2 linked regions of the Pelodiscus sinensis genome follow. The protein of the gene in region 1 binds, or shares a complex with, the protein of each later gene. Links are inferred from orthologs where the notes say so. Each region holds a gene or a part of one and is shown in the gene's direction. Other genes may lie near its edges.

What was found.
Region 2: the proteins of PRKAA2 (region 1) and PRKAG1 are in contact, whole or in part, in a crystal structure (PDB 6B1U), measured with the Homo sapiens proteins. The link is inferred for Pelodiscus sinensis from reciprocal best matches to the Homo sapiens genes PRKAA2 and PRKAG1. Residues at the interface, in NP_006243.2 of Homo sapiens: Asp329, Asn330, Ile333, Met334, Ala337, Phe340, Tyr341, Leu342, His366, Pro367, Glu368, Arg369, Met370, Pro371, Pro372, Leu373, Ile374, Asn444, Val446, Thr447, Pro530, Arg531, Leu532, Gly533, Ser534, His535, Thr536, Met537, Asp538, Glu541; in NP_002724.1 of Homo sapiens: His36, Asp40, Leu41, Ile42, Pro43, Thr44, Ser45, Val50, Phe62, Leu64, Val65, Thr66, Gly68, Val69, Arg70, Trp75, Ser77, Lys78, Lys79, Gln80, Phe82, Pro158, Glu159, Ser160, Gly161, Asn162, Lys170, Arg171, Lys174, Phe175.

The regions. Positions count from the first base shown.
Region 1 is NC_134719.1:12,982,612-12,991,221, forward strand, and holds the start of PRKAA2 (5'-AMP-activated protein kinase catalytic subunit alpha-2), read left to right. Parts: upstream 1-4,957; 5' UTR 4,958-5,021; coding exon 5,022-5,115; intron 5,116-8,610. UniProt on the Homo sapiens protein: Catalytic subunit of AMP-activated protein kinase (AMPK), an energy sensor protein kinase that plays a key role in regulating cellular energy metabolism.
Region 2 is NC_134729.1:4,977,845-4,986,296, forward strand, and holds the start of PRKAG1 (5'-AMP-activated protein kinase subunit gamma-1), read left to right. Parts: upstream 1-4,918; 5' UTR 4,919-5,053; coding exon 5,054-5,062; intron 5,063-7,839; coding exon 7,840-7,888; intron 7,889-8,340; coding exon 8,341-8,447; intron 8,448-8,452. UniProt on the Homo sapiens protein: AMP/ATP-binding subunit of AMP-activated protein kinase (AMPK), an energy sensor protein kinase that plays a key role in regulating cellular energy metabolism.

The DNA.
Region 1 (8,610 bases):
GAGCAGTCTTGGGTTGAAGGGCCTTGCCCAGCTGGAGAGAGAGGGCTGCAGAGCGGAACTTGTCCTGCTCTGCCCATCCGCCAGTACAGACACAGAGCCAGGTCAGGGACTTGCCCTGCTCCACCTGCCCAGCACTCTTGCCAAGGAGCAGGACTTAGGCACTCCCTAGCTGGAGTGCCAGAGCGGAGCAAGCCATCAACCCCACTCACTGGCAGCAATGCCAGGTAGGGGGCGCAGGACAAACCCCGCAGCCCGACCTTCTCCCCTAGCTGGAGTGCTGAAGCTCAGTGGCCAGAGTGGGGGCAAGCCTCGAACCCCACTGCCCAGCAGGACTGGTGGGCTGGAGGGCAGCGCAGGTGAGGGTGCATACTTCTTCAGTCTCCCCCCCATTTTCTCAAGCCCCCTGGCAAGACTGTCTATGGCCCCCAGAGGGCTGGAGGAGGGGAAGTGGGGCCCCCACTGGCTTCTATCCTAGCCCCCTCTCATTTCCAGCTCACCCCAGTGTCCCAGTTTGCCTATACCACTGCTTTATGCTAGGAAAGTTAAGGATTAGTTGACTACTTGACTATCCGATAAGCAAATGCTTATCGACAGGACAGTCAACAAGTCACTTCCCCCCGGCTGCCTGTATCAGACAGAGAAAGAAAGGGTAGGGGAGAAAAGAGGTGTACTTCAAAGTGGCAGCACCACACAGAACCCAGGGTCAACTGCTTCGTGCAGCACTGCTGCTTTGAAATGTCGCTGCTGTGGTGTTTCAAAGGGGCAGCGCTGCGTGGAGCCTGGGATCAGCTGGGGACTCCCCAGTTGACGCAGGCTCCGTGCGGTTCTATCATTTTGAATGCCGCAGGGAGCCCGGATCTGGCTCCTCGTGGCATTTCAAAGAGGCAGTGCCACTTGGAGCCCAGGGTGAAATGCCACAGCGGCATTTCAAAGGGGCAGTGCTGCCCTATCAACTAAATGAATAGTCAATGCAAAAATTCATAGACTATTCGATTAGTCAATTACATGATACTTAACATCCTTACTCTATAACTGGCCAGATCTGCAGACTAGGGATATAAAATTCCAATTAATCAGTTAACCATTTAAATGTTAGGTTAACCTAACGTTTATCCAGTTAACCAACTAAGCAGGATCCCGGGGTGGGGAGGAGGAACCACTTCAGCCGGGCTGGGTCAGCGCCCAGCCTGTAGGGCTCCCTCTTCCAGCCCCAGTCACGTGGGGCGAACTGCCAGCTCCCAGCCCCACACAGGGACCCAGTGGGGTTGGAGCAGCCCTCTGCCTGCTGCTCCTGGGTAACTAGTTACACGTCCACATTCCTACTGAAGGCAGTGCAGAAGTAAGGGTGGCAGCACCATGACTGACCCCAATAGTTTTGTGATTCCCCCCACAACTCCCTTTTGATGCAGGGCTCCCACTTTGACAAATGCTGGTCTCCTCCATGAAATCCGTATAGTATAAGGTGAAAGCACCCAAAAGACCAGGTTTCACTGAGGGAGACCCTATTTCACAGTCCATGATGTGTTTTTTATGGCTGTGAATTTGGCAGGGGACAAAATTTAATGCAGCTTTTTTCCCCCCTCTAGAGGCAACACCACATACTAGTCTTATTATACTTATGCTCCAGTAATTCGATCTTCCAGGGTACGATTTAGCAGGTCTAGTAAGGACCCACAAAATAAAATGTTGAGGATGTCCCCATCAGCCCCAATACTCCATGGGGTCATAAGGAATAAGAAAAATAGATTGGAAAGTTTCTCCCATTGACCTCCCAGAGTGGTGTCTCCAGAAAAATTCAATTTAAGGAATGTCCACTCCAGCTAGCCAAGTCTAATAGCTGCAGTTGCGTATCTTAAAATGAATTTCCCTCCCAGGCTATGTCTAAACAGCTTCCCTCTTCCACAAAAGCCTATGCAAATGAAGCACGAATTAGTATATTGCCACGCTTCATTTGCATAATTAATTAGGAGCCATTTTTGTGCAAGAGGTTTTTGTGCAAAAAAGCACTGTCTACACAGTGCCTTTTTGCGCAAAACCCCCCACTTGTGCAAGAGCCGTTCTTCCTGAAAAAATGAGGAAGAACGGCTCTTGGGCAAGAGGGTTTTTTTGTGCAAAAAGGCATTGTGTAGATGGCGCCTTTTTGCGCAAAACACTCTTGTGCAAAAATGGCTCCTAATTAATTATGCAAATGAAGAGCGGAAATTTGCTAACCCGCGCTTCCTTTGCATAGGCTTTTGCGGAAGAAGTCAACTGTGTAGATGTAGCCTCCATGCAGACTGGCCTAGACATTGGAGAGTCTGTTACCATCTCAGGGATTAAAAACCTATTTCTTTTATTTGGACAGTAAAGGGTGTTTTTGCTTTTAGTTCCAGAGGTCACAGCTTCAAAGCCCACAGGTGGCTTGTACGGCTGTGTTGTTACACAAGCATAGCTGTGTTGTTACACAAGCACCTTTTATCCAGGTTCTGCACCAGTCTGAGAGTGATGCTGCTACCGGGGTGCCAAGGGAGTGAGCTGCAAAGAAAGACATTAGTCTTGTTAATCTAAAGCTCCTACACAGCCTCCTTGCCAATTCTTTTACTGTGTAACATGAGGTTCTGTTTTGTTTTAACTAGCAAGAAGGGGAAAATCTTCATTAGAGACAAGGCCTAATTATCAATTAATAAGCATAGCCTTCAGGTGGTTAGTCTGGGTTATAAATAGCAAGTTTAAAATTATCTGTCTAGTTTCTGAGAGCAATTCTAACAAGAATGAGTAAAAATAGCCTGCTTGGAACAGCTGTGTTATCTGTTATTACATGACATGCTCATGTGTGATTGCTTCAGTGCTGAAATGGAAAAGCGTCACTAATGTTTATGATTACTGGTTTGTTTATAACCGCACTCTCTCAATGCTAGGCTTTCCAGCTAGTCAAGATGGGTCAATCTCTGCCCCAAGGAGTCTACAGCTTTGGGATTTTGAAATAACTTCATCCATGTCTATACAGCAGGCAGTTATTTCAAAATTATGTTGAAATACTGTCAAGCTGGAGGACTTCTTACTCCGACTCCTGTAACCCACATTGTACGAGGAGTAAGGGAAGTTGGAGGAAGAGTGCTCTATTTTGAAATCAGTGCTGTATAGACGCGCCCAATTTCGAAATAAGCTATTTCAAAATAAGCTACGCAATTGACGTAGTGCAATTTGCAAAGCTTATTTCGAGTTAAGCCCTGCTGTGTAGATGCAGATCAGGGGACAGGGACAGAACAAATATGGATTTTGTATGTAGGGCAAGGAGAAGAGGGTTTTCACGAACGCCTTAGTTTCTTATGCAATCACATCCATGCTTTCTTCCACATGGCCTGAAATATGCCCTTGCCACTCAACTGAGAAGCATGTTTGGGAATAGGATCAATGGGCAAGGAAGGTGGCTTTAACTGCTGCACAGATTTCTGATTATTAATATATCTATTCCTGTGTTATTGTTATTCTGTTGTCCTACTTAAATACCACAGAAATGCTCCTGCATCCAGGCCATTAAAATATAGCTCAGTACTACTGTTCATCAAACACTGGCACCTAAATACTAGTTTAAGGCTAGGCAATTGGTTACAGAGCAAGTGGTTCATGCAAAATAGAGTACTGCTCCCTCCCCTCCCACTCCCCTCCCACTCCCCTCCCCCCCGACAGTCTTGTCTCCTCTTCCCTCTATGGTATGGCATCAAACCTGTGTGATCTGGTACCCCTACCCCAAGCTCAGTGCCTTATCTTTGGGCTGGCAGTCGCAGCACTGTATCCCATCTTCATAATTTAGCACCACTCTCCCCACCCCCTGACCCTAGCCTAGTATCATGCAGTCTTCCTCCTCCAAGCTGCATCAATTTTTCCCTCAGTCTGGCACCCATGTTTCTCCCACCAGACACTGACCTAGCCCCATGCCCTCCTTCTGGCCTGACAATAACCCCTGCATCCACCTCCCCAGCCTCTCCTGCCTTCTGTCCAGCTTAGCACTGCCAAATCTCTTCCCCATCATCTTGGCACAATGTTCCCAACCTCCATCTCACTTTGCTACCCCTTCCTCCCCAGTTGGAATCCCTCCTCCAGCTTGATCTTACAATGTCCCCATTCCACATCTTCCACTGTTCCTTGGTCCCCATCCTCTCCCCCAGGCTGTCATGGACTGTGCTACCCACTTTCCCAGACTAGCATGTACCTCTCCCACCCTCCTTTTACATTGCCAGACCTGACACATAAGAACATCCAGACTGGGTCAGCCCAAAGGCCCATCTAGCCCTGTATCCTGTCTTCTGACAGTGGCCAGTTCCGGGTGCCCCAGAGGGAATGAACAGAACAGGCAACTAACAAGTGATTCATCCCTATCACCCTTTCCCAGCTTCTGGCAAACAGATACTAGGGACACCATGCTCCCCAAACATCCCCAATACCAACATGTGAACCATGCCTATCTCCTACTCCAACTCTGCGATTCTTCCTCCCCACCAGAGCGTGATATGCACCCCACCTCCCCCTGTGCATGTACCATGCATGCTGCCTCCCGCCCGGCCTCACCCAGTGCCATTCCTACCTGCCCCGGAGTCTGGCACCCACACCTCAGCATGGCACCTGCCCCACATGCACCATGCTTCCCTCCCAGCCCGACACCGCATCATTCCTATACCCACCTCAAATCTGGCACCCACCCCCTAAGCCTGGCAACCTCCCATGCAGGCACCATGCCCCCTGCCTGACACTGCCATTCCTACCTCCCCCAGGATGGCTCCCAACCCTCAGCCTGGCACCTGCACCTCAGCCTGGCACCCTAAACTCCATCCCCTATGCAGCCCCCTTGCCCCTCCCGGCCCGGCGCCGTGCCACTCCGACAGCCCCAAGCCTGGCACGATGCCATCCCCTCTCCCCACCCTCCCGTGCGTGCACCGTGCCAGCCCCCCGCCCGGCGGGCATCGCCCTGCCCGGGCCGCCCCTGTGCCCGCGCCCCCCCCCCCCCCCCGGCCCTGCTGCATTGTGGTCCGCGCGCGGCGAAGATGGCTGAGAAGCAGAAGCACGACGGGCGGGTGAAGATCGGGCACTACGTGCTGGGGGACACCCTCGGGGTCGGCACCTTCGGCAAAGTCAAGAGCTGAGTAGCGGGCGGGGCGCGGCGGGGAATCGGCATCGCCCGGCGCGGGAGAAGCGGCGCCGAGCTGGGAGCAGCCCTCGCCTCTGCTGCGCGCACTGCCCCTCGCCCCGCTGCCGGGCACCCCCTCCGGCCGGGCACCCCCTCGCTCCCGCCCCCCTCCGGCCGGGCACCCCCTCGCTCCCGGCCCCCCCCTCCGGCCGGGCACCCCCTCGCTCCCCCCCCCTCCGGCCGGGCACCCCCTCGCTCCCGGCCCCCCCCTCCGGCCGGGCACCCCCTCGCTCCCGGCCCCCCCCCTCCGGCCGGGCACCCCCTCGCTCCCGGCCCCCCCCAGGCCGGGCACCCCCCCGCTCCCGGCCCCCCTCCGGCCGGGCACCCCCTCGCTCCCGGCCCCCCCCCTCCGGCCGGGCACCCCCTCGCTCCCGGCCCCCCCCTCCGGCCGGGCACCCCCTCGCTCCCGGCCCCCCCCCTCCGGCCGGGCACCCCCTCGCTCTCGGCCCCCCCCCTCCGGCCGGGCACCCCCTCGCTCCCGGCCCCCCCCCTCCGGCCGGGCACCCCCTCGCTCCCGCCCCCGTCCCCCCCTCCGGCCGGGCACCCCCTCGCTCCCGGCCCCCCCTCCGGCCGGGCAGCCCCCTCGCTCCCGTCCCCCCCCCTCCGGCCGGGCACCCCCTCGCTCCCGTCCCCCCCCCCTCCGGCCGGGCAGCCCCCTCGCTCCCGTCCCCCCCCCTCCGGCCGGGCACCCCCTCGCTCCCGGCCCCCCCCTCCGGCCGGGCACCCCCTCGCTCCCGTCCCCCCCTCCGGCCGGGCAGCCCCCTCGCTCCCGTCCCCCCCCCTCCTGCTGGGCAGCCCTCTCGCTCCCGTCCTCAGTCCCCCTTCCACCACCTCCCGGCCAGGGAGCCCCCTCGCTCCCATCCCCATTCCCCCACCCCAGGCCAGGCAGCCCCCTCGCTCCCAGCCCCAGTCCCCCCCCCCCCAGCCAGGCAGCCCCCTCGCTCCCGTCCCTGAGGCACCCTCCGGGCCCCCTCCTCCCGTGCATGCACCATGCAACCCAGTCGCTCTTTTCCCCAGTCCCACCCCCGTCCCGGGTCGCCACCTCGCTCCCTTCCCTCAAGCACCCCCCCCGTGCACCCCTCCCGTGCATGCAGTCCCATACGCAAGGCATCCATGGGGCAGCTGCCCCCTCCCTTGTGCATATGCCCCTAGGGCCAGGGCAGCCACAGAGAAGTCCCCTCACTCCCTTCCCCCAAGACACCCCCTGGGGATGCGTTCCCCCACCCTACATGCACCATGCAGCCTCCTCATTCCCCTCCCCAGCCCCATCCCTAGGGCAGGTCAGCCCCTTTGCACCCCTAGTGCCCACACCGGGCAGCTCCCCTCCCCTGCATGCACCGTGCAACCTCCTCACTTCCTTCCCCTAGGCCAGGGCAGCCACTGGGCAGCCCCCTTGCTCCCATCCCCCAAAGCACCCACTGGGCAGCCCTGCCCTCTCCATATATGCAGCATGCAGCTCCCTTAGCTCAAACCCCCAGGTCATGTACGGAGCAGCCCACCTTCCCATCAGTGCAGGCATTGTGCAGCCTCCTTGCTGTCATCCCTCAGGGTACCCACTGGCAGCCTCTTGTGCAGGCCCTATGCAGCCCCCATGCTTCCTTTCCCAGGGCACAAGCCATGCAGTCCCACCCCCTTGCCCCAGTACATGCAACCTCCCATTCCCTGACCCAGCACGAGCATAGTGCAATTCCCTTCTTGCCACCTGGTTTCCTCCACAGGCCCGCACTGCTCCCTCCCTCTCATGGATACACTGCATGAAGCCCTGTGCACTCCCTCTCCCATGTACACTCTTGCCTGTGCCCAGTGCAACAGGTGAGGCCTGTACAACCTGTAGTTACTATGTAACTACTCTGTGTCTCCCTCACCACTCCAGTGCCTGTATTCCACAGTGGAGCCTTTCCCTGTCCTTCATAAATCAGGCCAGTCAGGCAGCATCAGGAATCCAGTTCCCCTGTGCATGCTCGGTGGTAGCTGTGCCTTAGCCACAGCAGGGGTCAGGCCTTCTTACTGTTGGTTACTATTGCCAGAAAACACAGTGCCTGGGATTGCTATGCAGGGAACCAGACCTGGCAACCAAGGCTGGAAATATTTGCCTGGGGAGTGTTGAGGCAGCAGCACAACATAATCCACATAGATGCCAGGCTGCAGGAGCCAGGCAGGCTAGCAACTTGGTTAAAGGAAGACTGTGGTGTTTAAAACGGAATGGTAGCCTCCCTATTGTTCACCTCAGAAGAGTAGGGTGTTCAGCTGACCAGATGCACTGATTTTCATAGGACAGTTGCAGTGTTGGGGATTATTTCTTTTAGAGGCACCTATAATCTCCTGACCACCATCCCAGATTTTTTCATTTGCTACCTGTCATCATAGGGTATTCACTTTAATGCTTCCCTCTGTACTTAGTGTGTGGCCTTCCTAAAGCTGATATGTCTCTGCTGCCCAGGAGGCACTCTAGAGCAAATGTGGGTAAAATATGGGCTGGATCTGGCCTACCATGATGCTCTGGGCCGCCAGCATCCCGTGTCTCTATGGGACTCCCTCATGCCACTCAAAATGGCCAGCTGCTGGGGCCACCATGGGATCTCCATGCCCTGCCCCTGCCCCCAGCACCATCCTCGCAGCTCCCATTGGCCAGAAACCAGCCAATGGGAGCTGTCTGGGTCATGCGTGCAGTATAGGCTGTGCCCAGAGGCCCTCCCAAGGAGTGTGTGGTGTGCAGAGATGCACACTCTGGCCCCAGTAGCTGGTTGCTTTGAGCAACATGTGGGTCCACAGCAGGCAGAGAGTTTGCCTGAGGGTTCTACTGGGCTGCTGGCCAGGAGCCACCTACTATGATACATGTCTCCCAGCCAGAGCTTGCACCTGGCACCCCACTCCATCCCTGCCAGCTCCCTGCCCTAGGTCACAACCCAAACCTTCTACACCCTCCTCCAGGTCACAGCCCCTTCCCAGAACCTGCACCCTTCGTAGATTGCTCTTCCAGGTGAAAAATCCTCTTCTGTACCTATACCCTGTCCTGGACCCTGCAACTCAATCCCCCAAGCTGAGGTGACAGCCTTCTCCAGCCCCAGATCACAACCCACTCTTTACTAACCATACTCAGCCATTTCTAACCCTGACTTCTACATTCCTCCTTTGCTTGTGGGTAAGAATAGAGTGTTCAAACTGTCAGTCGTGCATGTAGAGGAAATTGGAAACAAAATGGTGAATAAAGAGACCTGTCTTAGCTAGGCACCATTTAGTTCCATCTTGTCACCACTGCAGAAGATGTAGCTGGTATCATGTTAGGGAATAGGGGAGGTGCACACGAGCCAAAGATGATCTCTTCTCCCTTGCCCTAAAGACATCATACATACTCCCAGTATCAAAGCAGCTTTGGGTTGAGAATTGTAGCAGAAGGGTCAGGGTTGATTTATGCATAAGGATTCCTACCATAGAGGCTGATTTCG
Region 2 (8,452 bases), on another chromosome or scaffold:
CCACAAGTGGAACTGATGAACTGGCAACTCAGGGTTTTCTTTGTTTTGTTTTGCGAGGAGGACGGGGCCTGTGGCATCAACAAAACCAGCTCTGTCCGCCTTGCTCACTGAAGCACCTGTAAATAACTGGATGGATGCGGGGCGAGTGGGGTGCTCCCCCTCGGATCTGGGGTGGGGCGGCCGCATTCTCGGACCCACGGGGAGGTCAGATCCAGTCTGTTTTTTTTTTTAAAAAAAAAACAAAACTAATAATATTTGCTCGCTAACTTACCAAGGTAACAAAGAGACTCCTTGAGCTTGACAATCCCAAAACTCCCAGCCCCGCTCTGCTGGGCTCTCTGGAGACAGACAGAGCTCGCTTGGGTTTCGGTTTATTTCTTGTTCTGTCAATGGAAGCACCGTGAGCATGTGAAGGAGGCGCCAGCTGCCAGAGCAGAGCTGGGGAGAGCCGTGTGCAGAAAAGTCCCCCCTCCCCCATGGACGCAAGGAGCATCTGCACCCAAACCTACCTCATTTTAAGTGTTAGATTCTGCTGTTTTCAATGTGACCCTCCCTCCGAGACTGACCACATGCAACCTTCCTAGTTCTGAATGAGAACTAGTGGCAGTGGGCGGAGCCTGGGGAATCCAAGGTGTGGCAGTGGGTGGAGCCTAGGGCAGCCTGAGGGAGATTGTAGCCTTGCACGCAGACCTGGAAGGAGAGAGACCCTAAAGTATCTCCATCCCCCTCCAGCTGGGAAGTTGAGTGTTTCAGGATCCCTCCCCCCCACCCCCCAAGAGCCCCCCCAGTTGGATGCTCGGGTGTTCCTGGCTGCTCTCCCACCATGCACAAAGCTGGGCACTCCGGAGAGGTGGCGGTTTGAGGCTTTACTTAGAATGTGCCAAGACCCTCCCCTTGCTTCCACCCACCTCCCCAGCATGGCACAAGCAGCCGCCGAGAGCCCCCCCAGCACTGAGCACCCTGTCAAGCCTCTGGGTTTGGGGGCCGAGCTCCAGGAATCCTCAGTTGAGGCAGAGAGCTGGCTGCCACCGCCGCACTCCTGAGTTTGGCTGTGGGGTAGGGGGGCTGTTCTGGGTCCTGCCCCAGCCACTCCGCTCCCCCACCCACCAGGCCCCCTTTTGCTACCAGAACTGCTGCTCTAGGCTGGCCTCTGGAGGCTGCCTGTGTCTGTCATGTCGGCATGGTATGGGGGGTATTTATCTATTTATACCTTAGCTTGTATATATTAGAATCTATGGGGGCTCTCTTCTGTGCTCTGCTTGGCTGAGATCTTGGACTGTGGGGGAGGGGAGCATGTCCCATAACTAAACTGGGGGAAGCAAATCTCTTCCCTGCTCGCTGTTCTTGTCTTGTTAGCTAGAAAACCCGTATGTGACAGGTCCAGGGGCCTCCTGCCAGGGGCGGACTCGCTGGGGAGAAGAGAGGATTGGTGGGCATTACAAACTGGGCAGCGCTTCTCCTGCTCTGGCCTTCCCCACCACAGCATCCTATTGCTCGTCCAGGAGGGCCCCTCAAAGACTGCTGTAAACCAGATGGGGCAGGAGGTCCTGCTCTCACTGCCCTTTTCCATTAAACTGTAGGGTTTGACATCTCTTAACGCACAAAGGCATGACACCCCTAGTCCCCCAGGAAAGAATCAGAAACAAACTTCTGAGCTTGCTCTTCTCTGCTCTCCCATGCCACGGCTGCTTGACTCAGCTGAGGAGGGTTCTGTTTTGTATTAAACTTCCTTGCTCTCTTGGAGTGTGAGGGGGAATGAAATGAAGTGAGATTATTTTGGGGGGGGGAATGAAATCTGGGGGCAGGGAGCCCAGGGCATTTTATGTTTTTAAATCAAAAGATTTTGAGTGAGAGAGAAGAGCTGTCACATTTTTAAAAAGCTGCTTCCGCAACTATTCAAAGCTGCAAAAGGTTTAAAATGAAATGTTAAAACTTGGGGTGAGGGCAGGGAATAATAAAATAAAAAATATACAAAAAATTTAAATTTAAAACTGTAAATAAAATGGGAGCTGTGTAGAGAAAAAAAAACGTTTTTACCAATAATAAAACCACTGGATGTTATTTTAAAATAAAATATGCGTGAGAGAGAAAAAGCCAGTATAACTTTTTGTTTTTTTTCCATTAACTTGGAAGGCTGTAAAGTGTATAAAATAAAAAATTTTAAAAAGTACTACAAAAAAGGATTAAAGCTGGGAGAGAGTAAAGAACAGAATATAGCAGGTTGTCTGACTTTTTAGACTATGGTTAGAGTATAAAATAGTTCTGTAGATTTTAGCTGGGGAGGGAGGAAAACCTATACAGTTTTTAATTTTTATATAAACTATAATCCAGTCCCAGAGCTGACATTTGATTTTTTTTAAAGTTCTCTGCTTGTAAAATTGCATTCAAAGCCTTGTCCAATACTTCTGTTTGTTTACAGTTGCAGATATTATATTTTAAGTTTTACCTTTTATGATCCTGAAATAACCATTTATTATTTTGTTGGTTTTTTAAAAAAAATAAAGTTTAAAATAAAACTATGGCAAGTGTGGACTCTGTGAGGAATCTTCCTTTGTGTTTGAGGTTTTATTTTGTGTGTGTGTGTGTATCCTGTACAGCGAGGTTGTCCTTCGTAACCAAGAAAAGAATGGAGGGGAAATAAAATTATTCCTTTTTTTTTAAAGAAAAACAACAAAAAAATGAACTTGTATGTGGCATGTTTTGTATTGGATATAATTTTGAAATGTATATAATTTATGTTTAAAGAGGCAAAGAGTGCGTTTCAAATTTTGCTTCTGAGTTTGTTTTTAAATAAAAAAATAAAGGTGCATTTTAAATACTGGGTGATCTTGGACTTCTGCTTGTGTGTGTTCTCTCCCCCACTTCCTCAGTTGAAATGTGGCTCAAGTTCCTGGCTCCTGCTTCCCATACGGTCTTCTGGGAAGAGATTTTGGAGACCGTCACTCTGGCCCAGTGCTGCATAGGCGCTGGAGGTGCCCAAAGGATCATAACTCTTCCCCTCCCTCCCTCCAATGTTCAGGACCGGTTGCTCCTTCCCTGCTGCTATAACAAGGGGCAGGTGCACCCGTCCCAGCCTGTGCCCAAGGCTGCACTCTGCAGGAATGCCTGGAGTTGGTGCAACACATAACCCAGGAACTGGCCCCTACCTGGGGGCCCCATACTACAGAAAGGATGTGGATGCATTGGAGAGGGTCCAGCGGAGGGCGACCAAAATGATAAGGGGGCTGGTGTGCATGACCTAAGAGGAGAGACTGAGAGATCTGGTAGCTGAGTTAGTCTGTACAGAAAAAAACCAACAAATGGTCTGGTAGCACTTTATAGACTAACAAAACATGTAGGTGATATCATGAGCTTTCGTGGGCACAGCCCGCTTCTTCGGTCATCTGCAGAAGCGGGCTGTGCCCACGAAAGCTCATGATACCATCTATATGTTTTGTTAGTCTATAAAGTGCTACCAGACCATTTGTTGGGTGTGGGGGGAGGGGGGTGCGCTGGGTTTGCAGAAGAGAAGAGGGAGGGGGGGTTTGACAGCAGAGCGGTCCTGAAGGGAGGTTCCACAGGGGATGGAGAGTGGCAGAAGAAGGAGCAATGGGCTCAAGGTGCAGTGGGGGAGGGGGCAGGTGGGAGAGGAGGAAAAATGATTCCCCAGGCGGGCAGGGCGGTGCTGGGCGGGTTCCCTAGGGAGGGGGGGAGGGACTCTCCAGCCCCAGCGGGGCCGAGGTCCCGGCTGGATGCAGCCCTGGCGGGGGTGACCGAGTGGGGCTGGTCCCGCCTTGGGCAGAGGCCTGGACTCGATGGCGCCTGGGTCCTGGGGTTCATAGACCTTAAGGTCAGAAGGGACCATTATGATCATCTAGTCTGACGCCCTGCACAGTGCAGGCCACAGAATCTCACCCACCCCTCTTAGAATAATCCTCTCACCTATATCTCCGATATTGAAGCCTTCAAATACTTTGAAGGTCCCAAGATGCAGAGAATCCTCCAGCTGTGATCTGTGCCCCATGCTACAGAGGAAGGCGAAAAACCTCCAGGGTCTCTGCCAATCTACCCCGGAGGAAAATTCCTTCCCGACCCCAAATATGGCGATCAGCTAAACCCTGAGCATGTGGGCAAGACTCACCAGCCAGACACCCAGAAAGTTCTCTATCATCCCTCCATTGACCTATTTCCCACTGATAATGAATGGTCAATTAGTTACCAAGATCCTGTTATGTTCTCAAACCATCCCCTTATCATAGAATCATAGAACTGGAAGAGACCTCAGGAGGTCATCAAGTCCAGCCCCCTGCTCTAGGCAGGACCAACCCCAACTAAATCAACCCAGCCAGGGCTTTGTCAAGCCGAGACTTAAACACCTCTAGGGATGGAGACTCCACTACTTCCCTAGGGAACCCAGCCCAGTGCTTCCCCACCCTCCTAGGGAAACAGCTTTTCCTAAAATCCAACCTGGACCCCCCCCCACTGCAGCTTGAGCCCATTGCTCCTTGTTCTGCATCTGTCACTACTGAGACCAGCCTCTCTGGACCCCCCTCCAGGGAGCTGCAGGCTGCTCTCAAATCCCCCCCCCCCCCCCCGCTCTTCTCTTCTGCAGACTGAACAGACCCGAGTCTCTCAGCCTCTCCTCGTAGGTCACGTGCTCCAGCCCCCTCAGCATTTGGGTCGCCCCCCCCCCCCCCCGCTGGCCCCTCTGCAAAGCGCCACGTCCAGTCTGTGGGGGGGGGGGGGGCAGAACGGGACCCAACGCTCCAGATGCGGCCTCCCCAGCGCCGAAGGAGACTTCGAGGCTCCTGCCCCGCCCCGCCCCCTGCTGGCCGGGGGGTTCCGCGGGGCCGCCCCGGCTCTCGTGAACCGGAAGGTCGTGCAGGCTCCGGAAGGGGAGGGGGGGCAAAGGTCACCGGCCTCAGGCGTCAATTCCTCCCCCGCGCGGCCTACTTCCGGTCACATGACCTCTGCGGGCGGAAATGGCTGAAGTAGATCCGGGCGGAAGTGACCCGGTCCCGTTGCTGCCCCCGGGCGTTCGGCGGCAGCGAGACGAGCCGCGGCTGGAGCGGCCATGGAGGCGGTAAGAGCCCGACCCGGCCGGGGTGGGGGGGCCCGGCGCCCCCGGGATCGGGCACCCGCGTCCCTTCCTCCGCCAGCCCCGGATCGGGCCCCGCCTCCCCCCGGATCGGGGCCGCCTCCCGCGTCCTCCGCCAGCCCCGGATCGGGCCCCGCCTCCCCCCGGATCGGGGCCGCCTCCCGCGTCCTCCGCCAGCCCCCGGATCGGGCCCCGCCTCCCCCCGGATCGGGGCCGCCTCCCCCCTTCCCTCCCGCGTCCTCCGCCAGCCCCGGATCGGGCCCCGCCTCCCCCCGGATCGGGGCCGCCTCCCCCCTTCCCTCCCGCGTCCCCCGCCTCCCCCCGGATCGGGCCCCCCTCCTGCGTTCGCCCGCCCGGATCGAGCCCTCCGTCCTCCACGATCGGGCCCCCCCATCCCCCGATCGGCCCCCCCTTCTCTCCCTCATCTTTCGACACCCCCCTGGATCGGGCCCTCGCTCCCTCCCCCCCATAGGGCCCCCTCCTGCGTTCGCCTCCCCCCCCCCCCGGATCGGGCCCCCAAAGGCCAAGCCGCCAGGAACCGAACAGGGCTGGGGCTGGGGCTGGGGTGAGGGTGCCCTGGGCCGGGCCAGCGCAGTGACCCCCGAGGTGGCCCTTGGGCTGCTGCGTTTCCCTGGCCGGCCACCAACTTGAGAGTCCGGGGTCAGGGCAGTTTTCCGACTGGGTGACGGGAGCTGGGTGTTTCTCTTCCTCCCTCTGCCGCCCTGGCCCGTCCAGCTGGCGGGGAGCCTGGACTTTCCTGCCCAAAGCCCAGTGCGCTCCCCGGCGCCTGTGTCCCCGCTGGTCAGCTGTGACGTGTGTGCGCAGCCCTGCGGAGGGGCTCTGGGCTGTCCCGTGCCAGTGAAGCGAGTGGCACCCTGGCGCTGTGCACGGGAAAGGCCCCTGCCCAGCCTCCGCTGTGTTCAAGGCCCAACTCAAGTATCGCCTGGATCCCCCATCTCCCACTCCTGGGATTTTGCTGGGCTGAGCCAGGCGCTGTGGACTCATGTGCCTCAGCCCAGCTTCCCCCGTGCCCCAGCCAAGAGGCTGATGCATGCCAGGTTCTGGGCTCCTGGGCTGAAAGCAGCATTCCTGGCCTAGCCAGGCACGGGCAGGGGGCTAAATTCCCAGCATGCAGCCCAGGGCAGCCAATGGAGGTTGGAGAGTACCACGCCGGGCGGGACTTGCTCCCTGTTCCTTAGTGCTCATTCCAGCCCTGCTGCTTGGCTCCAGACACAGACCTGAGAGGTGCTGGGGGAGCATCTTCTGACTGGCCAAGCTGGGCCCTTTCAGGCATCCCCAAGGCCACGCTCCTCTGCAGCAGAGGCCAGGTGTGTGGCTGAAGCTGGGTGCTGGGAGGGGCAGCTCCAGCTGTTTGTTTTGGGCAGGCTGGAGCAATGCCCATCTTAAAGGGGCAGAGCCCTCTGCTTAGGGGTGTCCGGGAGTCTGCAGTCAGCCCGAGTCCCAGCGAGGCGACCACCTCTAGGGGGGTTAGCAAGATTGTGGCTGAGCGGCCAAGTCTGGTCTAAGTCCTGCCTGTGTGAAAATGGCCATGGTGGGATGAGCTAACAGGACTGGGCCTAGAGCCGCGGTGGTCTCTGGTCTCCAGCGCATCTGTGCTGAGATGCAGCTGGCCTGGCCTGATCCAGGACTGGCCGGTTCCCGGGCCCCGCCCTGGCAGCGGTTCACCTGATGGGGCAATGCTGCCAGGACGTGGCCGCTAGGTGCGTCAGAGCGCTAGGCTGCCTGTCGGAGGCATGCGAAGCGATTCCTGGGTGCGGTTTGTGAAGCGTAATTGGAGAGGAAGTAAGGCCCGCAGCTTCCTCCAGAGCCTGGCCAGCCCTGGGATGGAGCCAAGTTCTGCCTCGGAAAAGGAAAAGTGCGGCTTGGCTTTCTCTTCCCCTCCGCGAGCTCCCTGGCTGAGTGGGCCCTGCCAGCCCGATGCGGGGGGCAGTTACTGTCCCAGCCGGCTCCAAGAGCTAACAGTGCACTGGGGAAAGAGCAGTTTAGAGCAAGGGCTGGGAGCCGGGGCCCCTGGATTCCTTCCTCTCCTAAGGCTGCCTCCCTGTGTGGGCAAGTCGCTCTCCCAGTCAGCTGGGCCCAGCAACCGCTGGTGGGAGGAGCGGGGCTTCCCCTTGGGAGCAGGCAGGGGAAGGGAACCGGCTGCCCTGCATCCTGCGCTCCTTGCCCTGAGCGGGGAGGGTAGGCTCGGGCATGGTGCAGAGGGTCCCAGTGCCACTGCTTCCGGGGGGGGGGGGGGGGGGGGGGGGCTTTCCAAAATCTCCTTAACAAATCATTTGGAGGTGCTGCAGCAGCAGGGCCGCGGGGGGGGGGGGGGGGGGCGGTTTGCCTGCAGCAGCGGGAGGGGGGGAGGCCGGTTTGCCCCCAGCAGCAGGGCCAGGGGGGAGAGGCTGGTTTGCCCACAGCAGCAGGGCCGGAGGGGGCTGGGGGGAGGCCGGTTTGCCCGCAGCAGCAGGGCCGGGGCGGGGGGAGAGGCCGGTTTGCCCACAGCAGCAGGGCCGGAGAGGGCTGGGGGGAAGCCGGTTTGCCCCCAGCAGCAGGGCTGAGCAGCAATTGGGGGATGCCCACATAGCAGGGCTGGGCAGGGGGAGGTCCCCGGGCTGCCATGCTCCCTTCCCAAAGCCCTGGGTCCGTGGTACAGGGCGGGAGTGCAGCTCGTCTCACGGCTCTGCTCTGCGGGAGGGTCTCGAGCTGGGGCGCAGGCCTGTGGCTTACCGGGGAGCCCCTGATTTCTGTGTCTGCAGGGCCCGGTTCCTGAGAGCGCTGCCCAGAAGTGCCCCCTGGCACCGGAAGGTGAGGGCTGGTTCCCCGGGGGGTGGGTTGTGTCGGGCGGGAAGGCCCCAGCCCTGTGGTATCCAGACCGGCCCTGGCAGGGCGATTTTTCAAGCCCATTGCTTCTTGCCCTGCCCTTGATGGCAGAATGATTTACCGCCCCCTGTGCCGGCCGGCGCAGTTCTTGGCCCCGGCTCCCCCCTCGGCAGGCTCACAGCCCGGGGCGCTCATGTCCTGGGGGCTGGTCTGTAGCTCTCCTGTCTCCCATGGGCCCTCCTCTCTGCCCTGCGAGTACCCAGGCAGGCTGGGAGCCTGAGCTAGGCCCGGGGTGTAGGGCCATGCAGCAGGGGATGTGCCCTGACTAGGAGCAAAACCCCAGGGCCCCCCATGGCCCCTCAGACTTTCCCCGCCGCAGTCATGGCTCCCCCCGCCCGGCTCACTGCTGAAGCAGGTCCCTGCTTTCCCCCCCCCAGAGGCAGAGCCGGGCAGTGGGGTCTACTCCTGCTTCATGAAGTCCCATCGCTGCTACGACCTGATCCCCACCAGCTCCAAGCTGGTCGTCTTCGACACCTCCCTGCAGGTGGG